4 linked regions of the Schizosaccharomyces pombe genome follow. The protein of the gene in region 1 binds, or shares a complex with, the protein of each later gene. Each region holds a gene or a part of one and is shown on either strand. Other genes may lie near its edges.

Region 1 (4,835 bases):
CATCGTATGGCTGAGATCTTCCCGGAACGGCTCGTTTGCTTGACATTGAATGCGTTTTACATGTGAGAGATCTGGCGCACATTTGCCCATTAGGAAGCAAAACACCGCATTGCTTTTCAACATCCACAGGACCTTAATTGAATGTTAGTATTAAAGTAAACAGGTACTCCATTCTCCATATTGAACAGCATAAACCAACATACCTTTGACCTTTGGATTCTTCTTCTTGCTAGCCTCTTTCTTGGGAAGGGCGGATTTTGTAGGCTTTTTGTTTTCTTCTGTCTTCCGACGTTTTGGAGGCATTTCAGGATTCTTTTGACCATTAACTGAATTCTTTTCATGATTCCCAGCTGAGCCCTTAGCTGTCGATTTAACACCATTTTTGATGGGTGCATTATTGCCATTGTTGACATCTTTGTTTAAAACCTGAGAATTCGCAACAGGCTCAAATTGAGGCTTAGGAGGTTTAATTCCATTGCATGAGCTATGATGGTCCTCAATATACTCTGATAGGAAGGGTCGGTCGCATTTTGTGCATACAACATAATCGAGTTCTGAATTGTTAGGATATGACCCATACTGAGGAAAGGAATCAGCAGGTAGTAAAATTTGAGTTTGATTCGTAATGTTAGAAGTTATTTCATCCTTTACCTGTGATTCTGTATTATCAACTCTTTGATCAGCGAGTACATCTTTGGGTAACCCATCCGGGTATTTCAACAAAACTTGCTCATTTCTTTCCCAATTTTCTGGAAATAACTCCAAAGTCTGTTGTTCTGTTAACATTTTATTGATAAGAACCGAGTTTATAAACAGAATTCTACAAAGTTGCCCTTTGTCAATTCCTTTGTAGTGGGACTAAATCTGTAAGTCAAGTGTATGTACGGTTTAATGCTTCCAGAAAGCAAAGTCTATAATTGCATTCTAATGAACTTTCAAAGGATTATGCTGACACATATCATTTCTGATAATTACTAAATTATACAGACATTGTCTTTAAGGGCTAGACTATGACTGACAAAAGAATTTTTGATCTTGGAATTGAGGACAAACTACGGATATCAATTTTGATTAACAATTCTATTTTTTTAGGTCCCTTGAGCTAAACATAGTTTATTATTAAGGTGCGCGCTTTTCCCGTTTTCTCGTACACTGCCAAGAATCCACAGATCATGAGGGTGAGTAATCATGAAATCCGGACTCCAAAAGTAGGCGGCTGAAAATAAAATACTGGCAGAATCATTTGCAAATAAAAAGATAGAATAAATAAGGAGAAATACTTAGTGAAATTCCAAAATTATTTGTTTTTTTTTACATCGTACCAAAACATCAAAAATTAAGGAGAGAAAAAAATAGAAAACGTGAAAATTAAGCTGAAAAATGCAGTAAGATTGTAGAAAGATTGAATTTCCAAGATGAAATGTTCCGCTGTTTATTTTCCGTAGATTTTACATATTGTTTGCTCAATTGAAGATTACAAACGATCGGAAAGTATGTTTTTTACAGAATCCCATGAAGAAGGAGAAAGTTTGTTTTTCAGTTCATCGTACGTACACCAAACCCAGTCATAAACGTTTTGCAGGTTAGGTACATCTAATCCATTTAATAAACGAGCACGTAACAAGAAGGTCTAGAAATAACTGGTTAAACAAAAAATCAACCCAGATAAAATGAGAACAAAAAATCCGTAGTCTTACCTTTTCTTGTTCCGTTTTTAGTAATGCTAATGGATGACGTGCAACTAGCCAAGTCAACGAATTTTCGTCTAATATATTTTTTAAAAGATCTTGACATAACTACAGTTTGTTAGAAAGGCCAATCTGCAGACTATGTAAACAAAAATTGCAAGAGTATTTGATAAATTATTTAGCATCAAATCAATAGTAAGTAGTCTCTTGCACTATATTGTGTATCTTGGAATCGAATTTTAAAAAATGTACTTACCAGATGCAGCGCCTTCTCGGAGCTTGTAACAGGAGTGTTAGGAAATTGCCAACCCGAGCTTTTAGATTTTTTTACCAACAAGTAAAGGGACTTGTCAAGCGAGCGAAGAGTGCTTCGCTCATCGTTTTTCGTATCAGCTTCTGTGACTCTGGATTGCAAGTGAGTTGCAGAATCCAATAATTTGTTAGACTCCATCTCTTTCCTTTCCTTTCCAAATATCGTCTCAAAGGGTGATTCTTTACCTTTTAGTGTTTTTTGTCGTTCTTGCCAATCTTTTTCACCCACCGATCCCTTCTTGAAATAAAATTCTGCAGGTAAAGGATCACTCAGCTCATTCCAAAGTTCCGCATTATATTTATATATAGATTTTTCGAATTCGGATGGTTGGCGAGTAAGAATTGGCGATCTAATTAAAATTGTACCCACTGAACAACCTAAGATATGTTAGCAATCATGTACATCAAAGGTAATTTTTTTATTTATATTTAATATCCCTAGATAATTCATTTTCATTTTTTAATTCTGTACCTTTTAGAGGAGTCGAGTTAGACAAGGGTTTAGAGGATTGAATGGAATTTCGTACAGAAATGTGAAATTGACGCGAAAAAGACCTCTGCATATTTATAATATTTCTCTTCAAGTACATTGTTTAAACTTAGTCAATTTACGCCAAGTAAATCTCCAAATTTCGGCTTTGTTTACTAATCCGGTAAAGACCACTTGGTAAAGGCAATCGACGTTTCGCTATGGCTAGCACTACCACCTGTTTTACCAGCGTACATTACACGCTTCGTTAAGTACTGTAATATTTCTTAGAGACTCTGTTGCTATCGTTAATATGTTTTAATAGATTTCTTTGGATTTCGTTATAATTCAATTTAACTCACTTAGAATGGGGAATTGCTGACGCAGTAAACCTTTCAATCCCCATAACAATGTCTGCTTCCGTCGAATTAAAACGTAAGAAATTTGGCTAAATTCTTCTAACGTGTGGATAGCTACAGAGAAGTTCAGTAAATTTCTCGAGGAGTACTCTTCGGTACCGGTTCGCGCCGCCATTATTAGCATTTCTAATGGTAAGTTTCCATTCGGGCTAGAAGAGTAAATTTTAAGTTAGTTGAAGTTACTAAATGATTTAGAGAATTCATTTGACGTGAAAACAATGGTTGAAAAATCAGAATCGATAGAATCTGATTTTAAGAAAGTCCGTGAATGTTTGCTCGGATCTGAAGAACCTGCATTTGTCCTCGTTTATGATGATAGCAAGAAAAATCTATTACAATTAATTTCCTATGTCCCTGAAAATGCGAATGTTCGCAGGAAGATGTTATATGCCTCTAGTCGTGCTGCATTTGTAAGATGCGTAACTCTTGCTAAACTCGACGAGTCTTATTTCGCAAGTACTCCGGAAGAGTTAGATTATCAGCAAATTATGAAGAGCTTAAGCAAGCAAGAGGACCAAAGTCCTTTACGACAAGATGAACTCGAAAGGAAAGAGTACAATGAGGTAGGTAAACTGTATTGGGGTGGATGGATTTTTCATACTTCTTTACCGTGGCTCGTAGAATTTATAGCTTCTACTCTTTTATTTGCATCTATTTTAACAACTATGTAGTCTATGCAATCCTCAGTAACTCATAAGCGTCCTTTGGTGACCCGTGGTGTTGCTATGTCGATTGATGATAAAGCCTTAAAGGCTCTTTCTGATTTAAAATCATCTACAGAAAACAATCTTGTTATTTTGGTAAGGAAGCTATGATACTTTTGCTATGTATGGTGTTGCTAACCTCCTTTAAAAGTCTATTGACAAAGAAGTCATAAGTTTAAGTCAAGAAAAGCAAAATATACCTCCTTCTGATGTGAAATCCTTCTTTTCTTCCACCGAACCTAATTTCGCTTTCTATTCCCTGCCAAAAGACGGCTCTTCAAAAATTTGTAAGTACAGATGCAGGATCATTTTATTAACAAGGTCTAGTGTTTATATACATTTGTCCAATGCAAGCAACTGTCAAACATCGAATGGTTTATTCTTCTTCCAAACTTGGTCTTTTGGATAGTATTAAAGCAGAATTGGGTATTGTTATTGATGGCAAGGTATGTTTATCCCTCGTAGTAGATTTTATGCTCACATGACAGATTGAATCGAATGATGCCGCTGATATAACTGAAAAGGAAATTCTTCATGCTGCTGGGATATCAAGTCCTCAAGCAGAAACAAGCACCACCAAAACTGGTTTTTCGAGACCTCGACCCCCTAGAAGACGTTAAGCAAGTATATACAATTTTTTGCGGTTTCAAATTTACAGACTTTTTAGTTTATCAATCTTTTTCATGACATTTCAAATTCGAATTAAAACAAAATATACTACCAACGCCTATATTGAGCACACGTTGCATGCTATATTAACGGTCTCACTTTGCAATGCAAAATGTTATACTTCAATAAATAGAATAAGACAATCACTAGATCTATACATTGTTTCCTCTTTTCTAAAAGCGAAATCCTTAAAGACTCCATTCTTGACGAGTGTTAATCTTGCAAACATATATTGTTCAAACATTAAAGAAACACTATCCTTCATTAACAAAATAAATACTCTTTTGGAAATTGTAATTGACCTCAAAAGTTACTTTCTGATTTCCAAAAGATTAGATATGATATAATATTAAAAGCATATGCACCAAACCATAACTCCTATCATAAATACATAACTCATAATCAGTCATTTGAAAGAGACTGTATACAGTTAACAACCTTTTCCCGTATTGTCTTGCTTATTTTATGTTGCTGAGGTCCTTCAAGCGACAGAGTACCATCCGATAACGCAGTGTATACAGATCGACAGATATTCTTATTGAATAGAGCAAATTGATCTTTAGATATTTTTGCT
Region 2 (4,072 bases), on another chromosome or scaffold:
AATTCCCGTCCATTCACGACCCATAGTTTCCCAAAAAGTAGATTGAAATAATATTCTATTGTCTATCCAGACAATTGGAACCAACGCGGCTAAATTATCTGAGAGTTTCTGTTGGTATAAGGGTTTATCAGCCATCCACATGCCTGCATATTAAAAAACAATTAGATGATTTACATTCATAACCCAAAAAAATTCATACAGTAAAATAAGCCCTTCCAAAGCTTGAGAAAGTCTAACCTTTCAAATTTTTTCTTTTGGCTTAAAAACCGCTGCAACGATTCAAGAGCCTTATCACGAGTTTTTCGATCTTACAGTGTTAGTACATTAATCATTTATATGTAAGAAATTTACCATTAGCTGCAAGTTTCTTAATAAACGGCGACGGAGCCGACATTGTTGGTTTATTGACAAAGTGTTGAAGCAGTTCTTAGCATCGTTCCTTCCATACTGCGTTTTAGTGCACTAATTGGAGAGTTGATAAATGTCCCTTTCTAATATATGAAATAAGGAGTTTCCCAGTCAATATGTATTATTTTTTTTAGAATTGACCGTTTATGTAGATTAATTGATCATAAGGTTAATGTACTACTATGGTTCGCTTACACTTCTATTACAAATGCCGGTTTTCTTAGTCATTCTTATATATAAGTCTTTAACCGTTCCATTGATCAACAAATGTTCTTTTTCTTCTTCCTTGCATGCCTTTGAAAAGGAGATCCTTTGAAAGATCTTTTCCTGTTGGATAGACAATCGGAGGATGAAAAAATTTTAAGAAAGCTTTAAACAAAAAAAGGCAAAAGATAATAATTTAACAAACAGTCGGCAGGGGTTCTTGATTATACAAAAAAAGTGCATGACTGCGAATGCTCAAATCTACTAATGAAGCAAATGAATAAATGTGAGAAAGGGTTTATCTGACAGAGAATGAACTGACTACAACAAGGGGATTTGGGGGATAAAGAAGGAAGCTATATTTTCGAATGAGAAAGGTATTCAAAATATTACTAATGGGTATTGAACTGTAAGCGAAAAAGTCAGTAGAGAGCTCAAACACCGAAATTGGAAACGTAATTATACAAATGTACTAAGAAAAGGATGCAGATATTTCCTTACAAAACTCAACATGTAACCCATCCAAGAAAGTAAAGGAGGCTGCACGGAATCATCAATAGACATAACAAAGTTTTAAGGACATATTAGGAAAGCGGGATTTTTGATGAACATATATCAAGTTCTGATGTAATATGGGAACTACTTATTTATCTTTAACAATCGGTTCGTAGGGGAATCGTTGGTCGCCATAATATAGCTCTCGAATATTTTTAACGTTGGCAAGATACCCTGCAAAATGTGGATTTGTGTAGTAGCGTATGTCTTTCTTTGAAACTGGAAGGGGAGGGCGAGGAGGTGTACGAAAACTTGAAGGATGCAAATGGGCACGTAGCGCCAACGGGCTGAAATATACTGTTGTTATACTGCCGCCTGCATTTTTGATTTGTTGTATAGCTTGAACTGTAGCCTTAGAAACTTCTATGGAAATTGCTGTTTTAAGGAGTCCAGGTTCGTCAGCAGTAAGTTCAACTCCATGTTTAATACCTCTACAGCATCTACTATCGAGGAGGTCTTTCATAGTAATTGTCTTGCTAGCATCCAATCTACCACGATCAATCCATTCCTGAACTCTCCCTAACCCCAGACGCAACGGTTTCTTCAAATGTCCCGTACTGTGACCAACTTTAGGAAATAATTTGGTGATAGGAGTTTGACCACCTTCAAAACCAGGTTTAATTCTCCGTCCACGCCTTTGACCAGATCCTTTATGACCACGTCCAGAGGTTTTTCCTAAACCGCTCGCAGGGCCTCTACCCACTCGCTTCTTTGACTGATAATTTGCACTGTTGTTTAAATCATTCAACATACTGATGCCGCGGAAACTAGCACCAAATCTTGGATAACCAGAGGATCTCAAAAAACCATGAAATGAAGAACTGCGACAAACCCGAGATAAAATATTAAACATTTTCCAATTCAAAAAACGGGTTTCGTCGAGTTTAGATGGTAATAAGTCCAAGGCTGCTGTTTACTATTACAAAAGATTCGGACACACACGAATACGTAAAATTCTATAGCGTCTCATAAAAATATCTTTATTACTATATTCAGCATCGCTGCACTGCGCAATTCGAATTTGTTTCCTCCTTTATTTCTTCCTGACATATGCCAGTGCATAATTGCAGCAACAGCGATCTTGCTTGGTAGATATAATAACCCTTTACTTTATAATGGAATCGGCACAGGCAGTAAGATTTATCAACAGTAACTCGGTAACTAATGTTTGTAGGTCGCGGAACCTCTTGATTTGGTGAGGCTTTCTTTGGATGAAATCGTTTATGTAAAATTACGGGGAGATAGAGAATTAAATGGCCGTCTTCATGTATGAAATTTTTTTAACGTTTCTTGAATATTTTTCTTATTCTGAATTGGTTATACTAACTCGATTGTAGGCCTATGATGAACATTTGGTATGAATCATATTCATAACTCGCATTTGGATGGATTACTTACACGTATTTTAGAATATGGTACTAGGAGATGCTGAAGAAATTGTAACTATTTTTGATGATGAAGAGACCGATAAGGACAAGGCCTTAAAAACGATTCGCAAACATTATGAGATGCTCTTTGTTCGTGGTACGTAGATTCTAAATATTACGCTCGAAAAGTTTGACCATGATTAAGCTTTCCTTTTCGAAACTGTTTTTCCTTTTTCGCCAAATGCTAATGAACTTTAGGTGATTCGGTTATTTTGATTGCTCCACCTCGTAATTAAAGGAACGAATAAAATTACTATACAAAGCTATCTACATATTTTTATCTCATTCTTTTGTTTAAAATTTTTCGCTTTAGAGGTGCTTCTTCGTACAATAGTAACGACTTTTGATTTGAGTATTCTATATTACAGAAAAGTTTGATTTTCCTTTATTCCGTTGGATGGATAGTTTTATCTTTCTTTAGTCACGCACCACTTCTTGTTATTCCTTACATCCTTTTACTTAATAAAAGCAAAAGACTCTTCGAAGTTAACCAACATTCACGAGACGCTGAGCTTTGTCATTGAGACTTTTCATTAATGGTTTTATTCTTTGTACTTGACAGGATAGTAAGCGATTTTTGCTTGCATGGTGGTTGCTCTTGCGATCTAGCAAAATCAGATTGACATTCCTTTAGAGATCAGAGACATAATACCATTCATTGTGCAAATAAAAAAAAACTATCAATTGCTTTCGATTTGGCGGTGTTGTTCACTAGTTCATCTAGTATTTTTTTATTATTAACAAGCGTATCATCATATATAGGCGTAGCGGTAAAATAGAACAAAATAAAATAAATTCTACAAATATTGATTGTATCCAAACACCCAGGACCATTTATTTCATGAAATGCTCGTGTCAATAGTATTCTCATAACGATGCGCACCGCTGAGACTTATTTCAAGGACAACACGAGCGCCAGAGACCTCTCCTCTGCCTACACGCTCCCTTCGTTATGAATTCAGCTAAAGCTACCTCTCTCCTCTTTCAAGGCTTTAGAAAAAATTGCTTGCGATTGAACCGCATTTCTTTCGCTTCAGGTTTGATTAACCGGTTCACCGTCCCAGCTCGAACTTATGCTGACGAAAAGGTATTTTTTTTTCATTCTTCATCTTTTTGATTACTTGTTAACTTTTTTAAGGTGTTCGTTAGAAAAAAGCCGCATGTCAATATTGGTACTATTGGTCATGTTGACCACGGTAAAACGACGTTGACGGCTGCTATTACTAAATGCCTTTCTGATCTTGGTCAAGCTAGTTTTATGGATTATAGTCAAATTGACAAGGCCCCCGAGGAAAAGGCACGTGGTATTACCATTTCATCTGCCCATGTTGAATACGAAACTGCTAATCGTCACTATGCCCATGTGGATTGTCCTGGTCACGCCGATTACATTAAGAATATGATTACTGGTGCTGCTACAATGGATGGCGCTATCATTGTTGTTTCTGCTACCGATGGTCAAATGCCTCAAACTCGTG
Region 3 (4,140 bases), 510 kb from region 1:
TCATTCTTGCAATATCGTAACGAAGGTTTGGATCTTGCGCATTAAATACAGGAAGGAAATTCTGTAGCTCAAGACAGTAAGAAAAGGAAGGGAAATATGTAAGAGGAAGCAATAAAATTGCGCAAAGACTTTTTTGTAATGGACGTTCATGAAGAGCGCTTCGTAAGGAGGGCTGGTTAATGATATGTTCGTTAATGTATTGAAAAACACGATCTGCATACTGGGGTTTATAAGGGTAACACCGCAAGAAAAAATTGAGGATGCTAGAAAGTATAGAAACAATACAATCTAGTGGAAGACCACTACGAGATTGAATAACTTCAACAACATGTGACCATAAAACCTCTTGAATAGCATATTCTGGAGGAATTACTTTATCTCCAGGGCATTCTTGCTCGTCTTTTTGCTGTACTTCCTCATTAATTTTTATGTCTCCTAATTTTTCGGTTACAGTCTCAGATTCATCTTCATTAGAAGAATCAGATTCATATTCACGTTGGACATAGTCCGTAAGGCGATTCAACATAGCGACCACAAGTTGGGTTACGTTTACGCTTGGAGAAAGCTTTATGACCGTACCGAAATATGTATCGAGGGTTTGAAGATGCATATTATCAGAAAACGCCTGACAAATTACTTCAACAAGATACTCTTGTGCAAGTGAGTCCCGACATTCAATAATTTGCTCGATTATGGCAGGAAGGACATGATCTCGGTAAGTGTCTATATCGAGGTTTAACTGAGATAATCGAACCAAATTCAGCCCAACAAGAACCTTTAGCTCATTCCTTTCTTGGGTACGTTTGGAAAATTCTTTAATTGGACCAAGATGTTGGATTCTAACCCACAATTTATTCATTTCCGTAAAGTTGATAACTAAAAATTTAACAGAATCGAGTACGGTTCCTTTGCGAGATGCATCTTCCTCATCTTCTGATCCCAAAGGTAATCCTTTTCTTGTTTGGGTAAGCAGATAATGGCGCAAAAAAAGACCTCTTAACGGATGCTGAACACCTCTACACATATCTAACAAATCATTCATAATTTCACGTACAAGGGCATTAGGCGTTTCCAAATAAGCGCTTCCAACGGTTATCATGAGATATAAACGAGGGACAATACTACCGGCATATTGAACAAGTTCATAAAGGTCCATTAGGTTGTGAGTACCGTTCAGATGCGTTTCCAGCAATGTGCCCCCAAGTAAACGCAAGCTTTCCATATTAAACATATACAGCTCATAGTATTGTTTTGGAGTAAGTGCAGAATTTCTCATTTCCACGAGACTAATACTGCAATTACGAAATGCATCCATCAATCGTCCTGTCTGCAAGTTTCTTTGCATCAGCCTACTAGACTGCTTGCAAATATTTAAGGACTCTTCCAAGCTCCTTGTAATTTCTTCGTTAGCAGTATTAATTCCGTTCATAGAGCCCTAAATATCCACTTCCAAGTGTTTCAATTTAACCAACGTAATTGTAATTTCAGTATAGTTTTACTAGCGGCCCAACTTTCGAACAGAAAAACAGGATGTTTGTTATTCTTTTTAATTCACTAATATTAGCAATGTTTTTTATAATGGGTTCGTTGAAATGTCTACAAATAAAGTTGGTGGTACTGGTTGAGATATATTGGTAGATCTTGAAGTATTGCGCGCAGCACAGCTTGGAATCGCGCTTCGCTCAATTTCAAATTGACCATTTTCATATCACAAATATCGCGCCTAAATAGTATATTATTTTGATAACAATTAAAAGAAACTATAAATCTAATCATCGGAAAGGTTCACACTACAAGATTCGTCTTAGACCTCTAAACTAACGGTTTTTGAATTCTACATTCAATTGAGAATTTATTTAAGCTGCTTTTCTTTTTATTTTGTAAAAACTTTCTTGACGGATTTCTTGGTGCACCCATTTAATTGAAATGAGTATTATGAAACCGACAACTCGATTTTTTCGCTTCAATTCCCTTGAACTAGCAGTCTCACCTTTTCAAAGAATTTATGGGCAACTGGTATGTCAAGCTTATAAAAAAAATCACCGTTACTTACACAGTTATTTAGAGGTTTCTTCGTAAACAGCCAAAACCGTTTTTGGTAAAACTGTTAAACAACGAAGTTTCAAAGCTAGGAAGGCAAGGTATGCTAAATTTTTCATAATTATAATGTTCTTCATTTCAAACCTATAATAGGGAGGTAGTGGTTACATCCTTTTATTATAAGAAATGCATTCTTTTAGCCGTCGTAGGAAACTACTAACTTTACAAAAGGTGATGTCGTCTCAGTGACAAGGGGATATTATCGAAATACACTTTTCCCCAAGAAGCAAGCGATTGCTGTTGATGCCTTAAAATCTATGAAAGCACATTTGTTACAAGGGTCCGAATTCTCGACGAAAACGAAGGAATAATAATACCTAAACTCTCACTTAGTTCAATCAACATAAAAAGAATTTATTGAGTTTATTAGTGGATTAATTAAGGCTTAGCTAGCTGCAATTTGAACAATTCTAGCTTTTCATTACGAGATATTGTTACATTACTAACAAGAATTACGAAGTATTCAGCATTGACTTTTTTCTATAAAAAAATATAAAAAATTTAATTAAAAGGCTTCACTAGAAGCGTAGTCTCTTTCTGAGTTTGAATATTATCGTTATTGTAATATTTTATCAGGGTTGATGCTTAGTGTTTCTCAATTACAATAACAAGCTTTGGATTTTCCTATAATAGTATAGTTAATATGAAATTTAAATCCTTGAATGGTAAACGTTTACTGCGTATTGTGCGGCCATCGTTTCTGCTCTATCAGCTCGTCTAGCATCTTCTTCTCACAGCTACCAACTATTTTGAGTTGGATCCAAAATCATCTCATAACTCGTGTTTATTATTGCTAAAGCAGCAGAGAAAATATTTTTCATTACCTTATTCAGCTTCAATGAAAATTAATTTGTTTTTTGTGTTTCTATTTGAACTTCTGCATTTCGTGGCAGCTTATAGTTGTGAAGGAGATGAATCAGCTGCCATTGAAGCTATGAATGTCTTACAGGTACCGTATGAAAAATACAACACAGACCCAGTTTGCGCTTTTGACAATTCCACCGTTGTCGAACTTTCAGATAAAACCTGGGATCATGTCATTGAATCTGGCAAATGGTTTGTGCAGTTGACTGCTGAAGGCTGTGCTAACTGTACTCTTGGAGAGCTACTTTTTAACGTAAGTAATGGACTGCATTTAATGTTGTCCAAATGCTCTTGTTATGAGATTGAATTTTGAGCCTCGGAAATAAATTAAACCATCTTTGGATTTAATTGAATCTGTACTAACTAATTTTAGGACCTTTCGCATGCTTTTCATGAAAAATATCCGGATGTCCACTTTGCCCGTGTTTACTTGAGCAGTAGCCTCGAACTTTCTGTACGCTTACTCATTTCTCGGATTCCTTCTTATTATTTCATCGATAATCAAAATTTCTACCGTGTTTCTCCTCAGGTTCTTCCCAAGAACAAGGCAATCGCCTTATATGAAAAAGACGGGTTCAAAAGTATGAAAAAAGAGCAAGGTTTTTTCTCTGTTAACGGGCCCTTGAAGTCCTTTTACTGGGTCTTTGGAAAGGCACTTGCACTTTACGGACACTTAAGTCAAAAATACACCCCTCTTGGAATGAATGTAGCTATTTTTGGGATCTCTGCCTACATAATGTATCGCTCTAGCAAAAAAGCGAAACAAAAACAAGCCGCTGCTGCTGCCGCCGCCGCTGCAAAAAAGAAATAAGCTATGTGGAAAATACTATTAGTTTTTGATAATATCAATTTTTTGAATAATTATACGAGAGTTTGTTACATGTTCTATATGTAAGGCACCGCTCTAGTAAAGGTTTATACCCTATTTGTTTCATTCCTTCCTTTTTTAACAGAACGTAGATTTTCCAACCTTATTGCTTGTTTGGAGATTCATTAGAGGAATCATCTTTTAGCTTAGAATAAACGGCAAAGTACTGCCCGTCTCTTTTCTTAGCATTCTGAAATACATTCCACGGCTCTTGATCGGGTAATGATGGTAGAGATTCCGCATTAATAGCATGATTCAAAGTACGAAATGGTTCCTTAATGAAGGATGTATCAAGTCTCTCAATTGCA
Region 4 (3,584 bases), 1.2 Mb from region 1:
AATTCAGAACCCGATAAAATATCTGAGGCTGTAGCCTCGGTAGGGACCTGCAATTCAGAAGAATCAATCTTTGAGGTTGGTTCCTCTTCTTTATTTCTTGTAAACAACCAAGACATATCTTAAAAAGTTGATTTTTCGCAAAGGCGCGATGGTGGTTGTCTGCAGGTAGCGGTGGTTACAGGAACTGTGTATTAGCACCTAAATTAAAATAGTAGAAAAAAATTGTTGAGACGTAAAAAGTGTCGCAATTATCATGAATTTACATTTATATATAAAAAAAAAGACTTAATGAATAAATCCTCGATCGTTAAATAACGCCCGAACTTATTTACTCGATCACCGCTTAAAATTCTAGACAAGTTGGGCATAGGTCCATCGATAAAACAATAGAATAGAAGAAACTATAAAACTTTTTTTTATGAGAGAACAAACAACGAAAATACAAAAAATATAACACTAAGTATTATCAATTATACAGTTACGCAAAGCAAGCATAAGACCGTTGTGAATTAAATTTACGTCCAGACAAATCAAAGGTCTCTATTAATATTAATATGCCATTCACATTAAGAGCCAAACCAAAGCGTGTTAAAGGAATACATTGAATCCGTAAATATCCTAAGTACGAACAGGTAAAGAAAGCTAAAGTAGATATCTAACAACAACAAAAAACGAAACTTGCTAGCTCAAAATCACAAAACCATATTCAGCACATTTAAACGACCCAAAACGAAAGAAGGCCTTTAAATTTCTTTGAGCGCAAAAGTAAGACTGGGAATTTAAGCAGTCTATTTGAGGACATACTTGCGAAAAGCAAAGTAAGCAACAACCATCACAAGGACAAAGAGCCACATAGCAGGCTTAACTGGTTGAGAAGAATCATATCCACTTCCACCAGCGGCAGCACCAGTTGTGGGAAGCTGAGGGCCATCTTCAGTCTAAAATATGTTAGAGTGTCGAAGCAAATTTTTACAAAAATTTTAACGAGCCTATGGCGAACGAAGAGAAAAAATAAATGACATACTCTGAGCAAGTTTCCAATGTAAAATTTTTCGAGCAACTCCTGAGCATCCTCAGAGTGACCAACATCCTCGAAAGGACCGCTAGCATCACGACCTAAAACAAGTTAATAATCACAGAAACGAACAAAAAAAAGCCCCTAGCGATGGTAGAGAAAGGCAGAAACTTTGTATAGCCAATCCAAAAGCCGTATGTGAAGAATCGAAGCGATATCGTCAATCAATCTTTCCAAAATTATGTATTTCAGTGTATTCAGAGTACTGGAAATACAAAACATCGAGTAGAGAGCGATCAATCTTGGAACATATAGACTGTACTTAACAATTCACCTTCAATGACAATGTCGCATTAAACATCGTATTTATTCAGGATATCGCATCTATTTTTGTACGTTCCTACGGCAAAGATTCGTCCTGAATCTTTCAAATTAAAGAACATGTGTATATGCGACACCTAAACTCTCGTGAAATTCAAAGTTTTGTAACGCTAGTTGTCTGAAACTTCGATTTCTACGACTCCACACAATCGCGACCAATTTTTATGCATTACAACCAATCTTCCTCAAGACCTCCATTATCGCGTACCCCTAAAAATTTACTTACCGGCCAAATCAACAAGAACCTCTTCACCACCAGGGTGAGCGTCAAGGAACTTGGAAATATCATACACCTTGTCTTTTACAACAATGTACAAATCATCACGAGTGTTATGTTTTAACACTTCTTCAACAGTAATTGTCTTCTCTGCCATGATCAAGTTCTGCTTATTCTTCCTTAAAGGTGGTATTTAACGGTTATAACCCAGGAGCTAATTACTCTCGAGATGTTGGTTGCAAATGCCCTATCGCGATTTATCTAGCAGGTGGGAAGTAGAAATGAGCCGATTCTTACTGGCAGGTGGTCACGTGGATTCGAGTTGGAAGGTACACCCAAGGATATGAACTTACCCAAAACCTATATCATTCTTCAGTTAACCAACTCCACCATTTTGGAGGTGTAGTGTTTATATTTGAATGGCAATATAATATTTAAATCAATTTAGGACGCTAATCAAGTTAATTTTTGTTCACATCTTTGCTGTTTCGTTGGAGCCGTAAACTACTTTGTGACAAACCATCAACTACTCAGAATTTGTCTATCACCCAAAAACTTAACAAAAAATTTTTATTTGCTCTTTTTGATCCAACCTTCTTCCTCTCCTTTTGATTTTATACGAAAAATATGCTGGGTGCATTTAACTCGACTTTGGCTCGCTTTGGCGGTCTTGTTCATAAAGTACCTTGGAGATTATCCCAGCGAAGAAAATATCGTCACCGTCAACGACTTCGTGCCGTCGATGAGGTGGTAGATGTTTTGCGCACGGCGTTGCAAGAGAAAAATCAATCGTGCAAACGAATTGAAAGTTTCGTTGCTAACCATCAGCCTGAATCCCAAATGTCACCAAAGGATAAATACACTATGTTTACCAGGAAGACTCAAGGTGCCGGTCTCCAAGGCTTCCGCAAGGGTGTCCATAAATCACCAAAATGGACCCGTAGTACTAATCGTGTTAATCCCACTGGCTTTTAAAAACGTCTGGTTGCAAAAGTTTACTACTTTTTTTTTCATAATTTTAATGCTCTATGAATAATAAATGTAATGGATTATTTTAATAGCTTATTTTATTACTTTTTTATTGCAAAAACTCCCACCTCTTCCTCGTCTTCGTTCATATTCAATTTCCAGTTTCATACATATTCAAACAAACGACATTAGCCTTTAGTTAGAGTAAAGTTCATATCACCTCTATTATACGTCTCTTTAATTCTTTGCTCTGTAAAACAATACATAAGCAGACGATGTGACAATATCCTCCGGATCTATTTCACAAATAGCTGTATCATCAAACTTAAAGAATGTTTGGCTCGATGCATCTCTTGCATAGGCAGTATAATGACCATTACTCATAAACCCGTGATGATTGTCCACTGCATACAAATCGTAAAGCATCGATTTCTGTGACGATAGCCACTCATGATCTTTTATAAATGGACTCAAAAATTGCTTCAAATTGAGATCAAATACTGGATAAACTACTAAATCCCTTCGTTTACGTCTTCTCCGCAAATCTCCACCGTGGCCGCTGAATCGATTTAAATGAATGACTAGTATTTTTGGCAATCGCCAGATCTCCAGCCGTTTTGTTGCCGGTCGAAATGCCTTACACCCAGGACAATACCAGGAATCCTGTAAATCAAGCTGCTCTGGCTTGGAAAACTCCAGTAAACAATCTTCAAGGGTGATGGACTCCATATGGAACTGAATTTTTTCAAATATCCATTCGCAGTTATAAAATAACTTTTCATATTGTTGATCGTTCCATAGACACATAATTACAGTTTTGTCGTCAATAACGATTTCCTCTTCCTCCACTATTTCAAACCTTTTAACCTCAATTTCCTTTATGCATTCCCATTTCCCGGCCTTACTTTCCATCCGCTTCAGTCCAAGCTGAAGAGTTCCGATTGCTACGTCTATGCCTGCATAAACTCGATACAGTTCGACAATCTCTTTCACTAAATCATT

Evidence for each region.
Region 2: mrpl17 (region 1) and mrpl10 share a complex: the UniProt entries of both Schizosaccharomyces pombe proteins name them as parts of the mitochondrial large ribosomal subunit.
Region 3: mrpl17 (region 1) and SPOM_SPCC777.17C share a complex: the UniProt entries of both Schizosaccharomyces pombe proteins name them as parts of the mitochondrial large ribosomal subunit.
Region 4: mrpl17 (region 1) and mrpl31 share a complex: the UniProt entries of both Schizosaccharomyces pombe proteins name them as parts of the mitochondrial large ribosomal subunit.

The regions. Positions count from the first base shown.
Region 1 is NC_003421.2:2,123,071-2,127,905, forward strand, and holds mrpl17 (mitochondrial 54S ribosomal protein mL46), read right to left. Parts: upstream 2,676-4,835; 5' UTR 2,591-2,675; coding exon 2,473-2,590; exon of another isoform or gene 2,379-2,472; coding exon 1,945-2,378; intron 1,797-1,944; coding exon 1,698-1,796; intron 1,631-1,697; coding exon 1,475-1,630; 3' UTR 1,063-1,474; downstream 1-1,062. Other genes in the region: SAGA complex deubiquitinating submodule subunit Sgf73, read right to left, coding at 1-132, 204-786; twf1 (twinfilin), read left to right, coding at 2,880-2,904, 2,943-3,020, 3,084-3,451, 3,560-3,688, 3,744-3,879, 3,920-4,038, 4,081-4,212; ubiquitin-protein ligase E3 Asr1, read right to left, coding at 4,664-4,835. UniProt on the Schizosaccharomyces pombe protein: Component of the mitochondrial ribosome (mitoribosome), a dedicated translation machinery responsible for the synthesis of mitochondrial genome-encoded proteins, including at least some of the essential transmembrane subunits of the mitochondrial respiratory chain.
Region 2 is NC_003423.3:1,820,884-1,824,955, reverse strand, and holds mrpl10 (mitochondrial 54S ribosomal protein uL15m), read right to left. Parts: upstream 2,054-4,072; 5' UTR 2,021-2,053; coding exon 1,256-2,020; 3' UTR 999-1,255; downstream 1-998. Other genes in the region: Nop52 family nucleolar protein, read right to left, coding at 1-143, 200-307, 352-394; U6 snRNP-associated protein Lsm3, read left to right, coding at 2,283-2,300, 2,342-2,434, 2,505-2,522, 2,577-2,691, 2,793-2,830; translation elongation factor EF-Tu Tuf1, read left to right, coding at 3,547-3,681, 3,733-4,072. UniProt on the Schizosaccharomyces pombe protein: Component of the mitochondrial ribosome (mitoribosome), a dedicated translation machinery responsible for the synthesis of mitochondrial genome-encoded proteins, including at least some of the essential transmembrane subunits of the mitochondrial respiratory chain.
Region 3 is NC_003421.2:1,616,845-1,620,984, reverse strand, and holds SPOM_SPCC777.17C (mitochondrial ribosomal protein subunit L9), read left to right. Parts: upstream 1-1,926; coding exon 1,927-2,016; exon of another isoform or gene 2,017-2,065; coding exon 2,066-2,141; exon of another isoform or gene 2,142-2,271; coding exon 2,272-2,411; 3' UTR 2,412-2,839; downstream 2,840-4,140. Other genes in the region: retromer complex subunit Vps35, read right to left, coding at 1-1,429; SPOM_SPCC777.12C (ER stress response thioredoxin family membrane disulfide oxidoreductase), read left to right, coding at 2,939-3,217, 3,338-3,775; protein Gta3, read right to left, coding at 3,936-4,140. UniProt on the Schizosaccharomyces pombe protein: Component of the mitochondrial ribosome (mitoribosome), a dedicated translation machinery responsible for the synthesis of mitochondrial genome-encoded proteins, including at least some of the essential transmembrane subunits of the mitochondrial respiratory chain.
Region 4 is NC_003421.2:886,618-890,201, forward strand, and holds mrpl31 (mitochondrial 54S ribosomal protein mL60), read left to right. Parts: upstream 1-1,968; 5' UTR 1,969-2,240; coding exon 2,241-2,588; 3' UTR 2,589-2,678; downstream 2,679-3,584. Other genes in the region: TIM23 translocase complex subunit Tim23, read right to left, coding at 1-116; oca8 (cytochrome b5), read right to left, coding at 789-938, 1,025-1,116, 1,623-1,770; ubiquitin hydrolase Ubp1, read right to left, coding at 2,820-3,584. UniProt on the Schizosaccharomyces pombe protein: Component of the mitochondrial ribosome (mitoribosome), a dedicated translation machinery responsible for the synthesis of mitochondrial genome-encoded proteins, including at least some of the essential transmembrane subunits of the mitochondrial respiratory chain.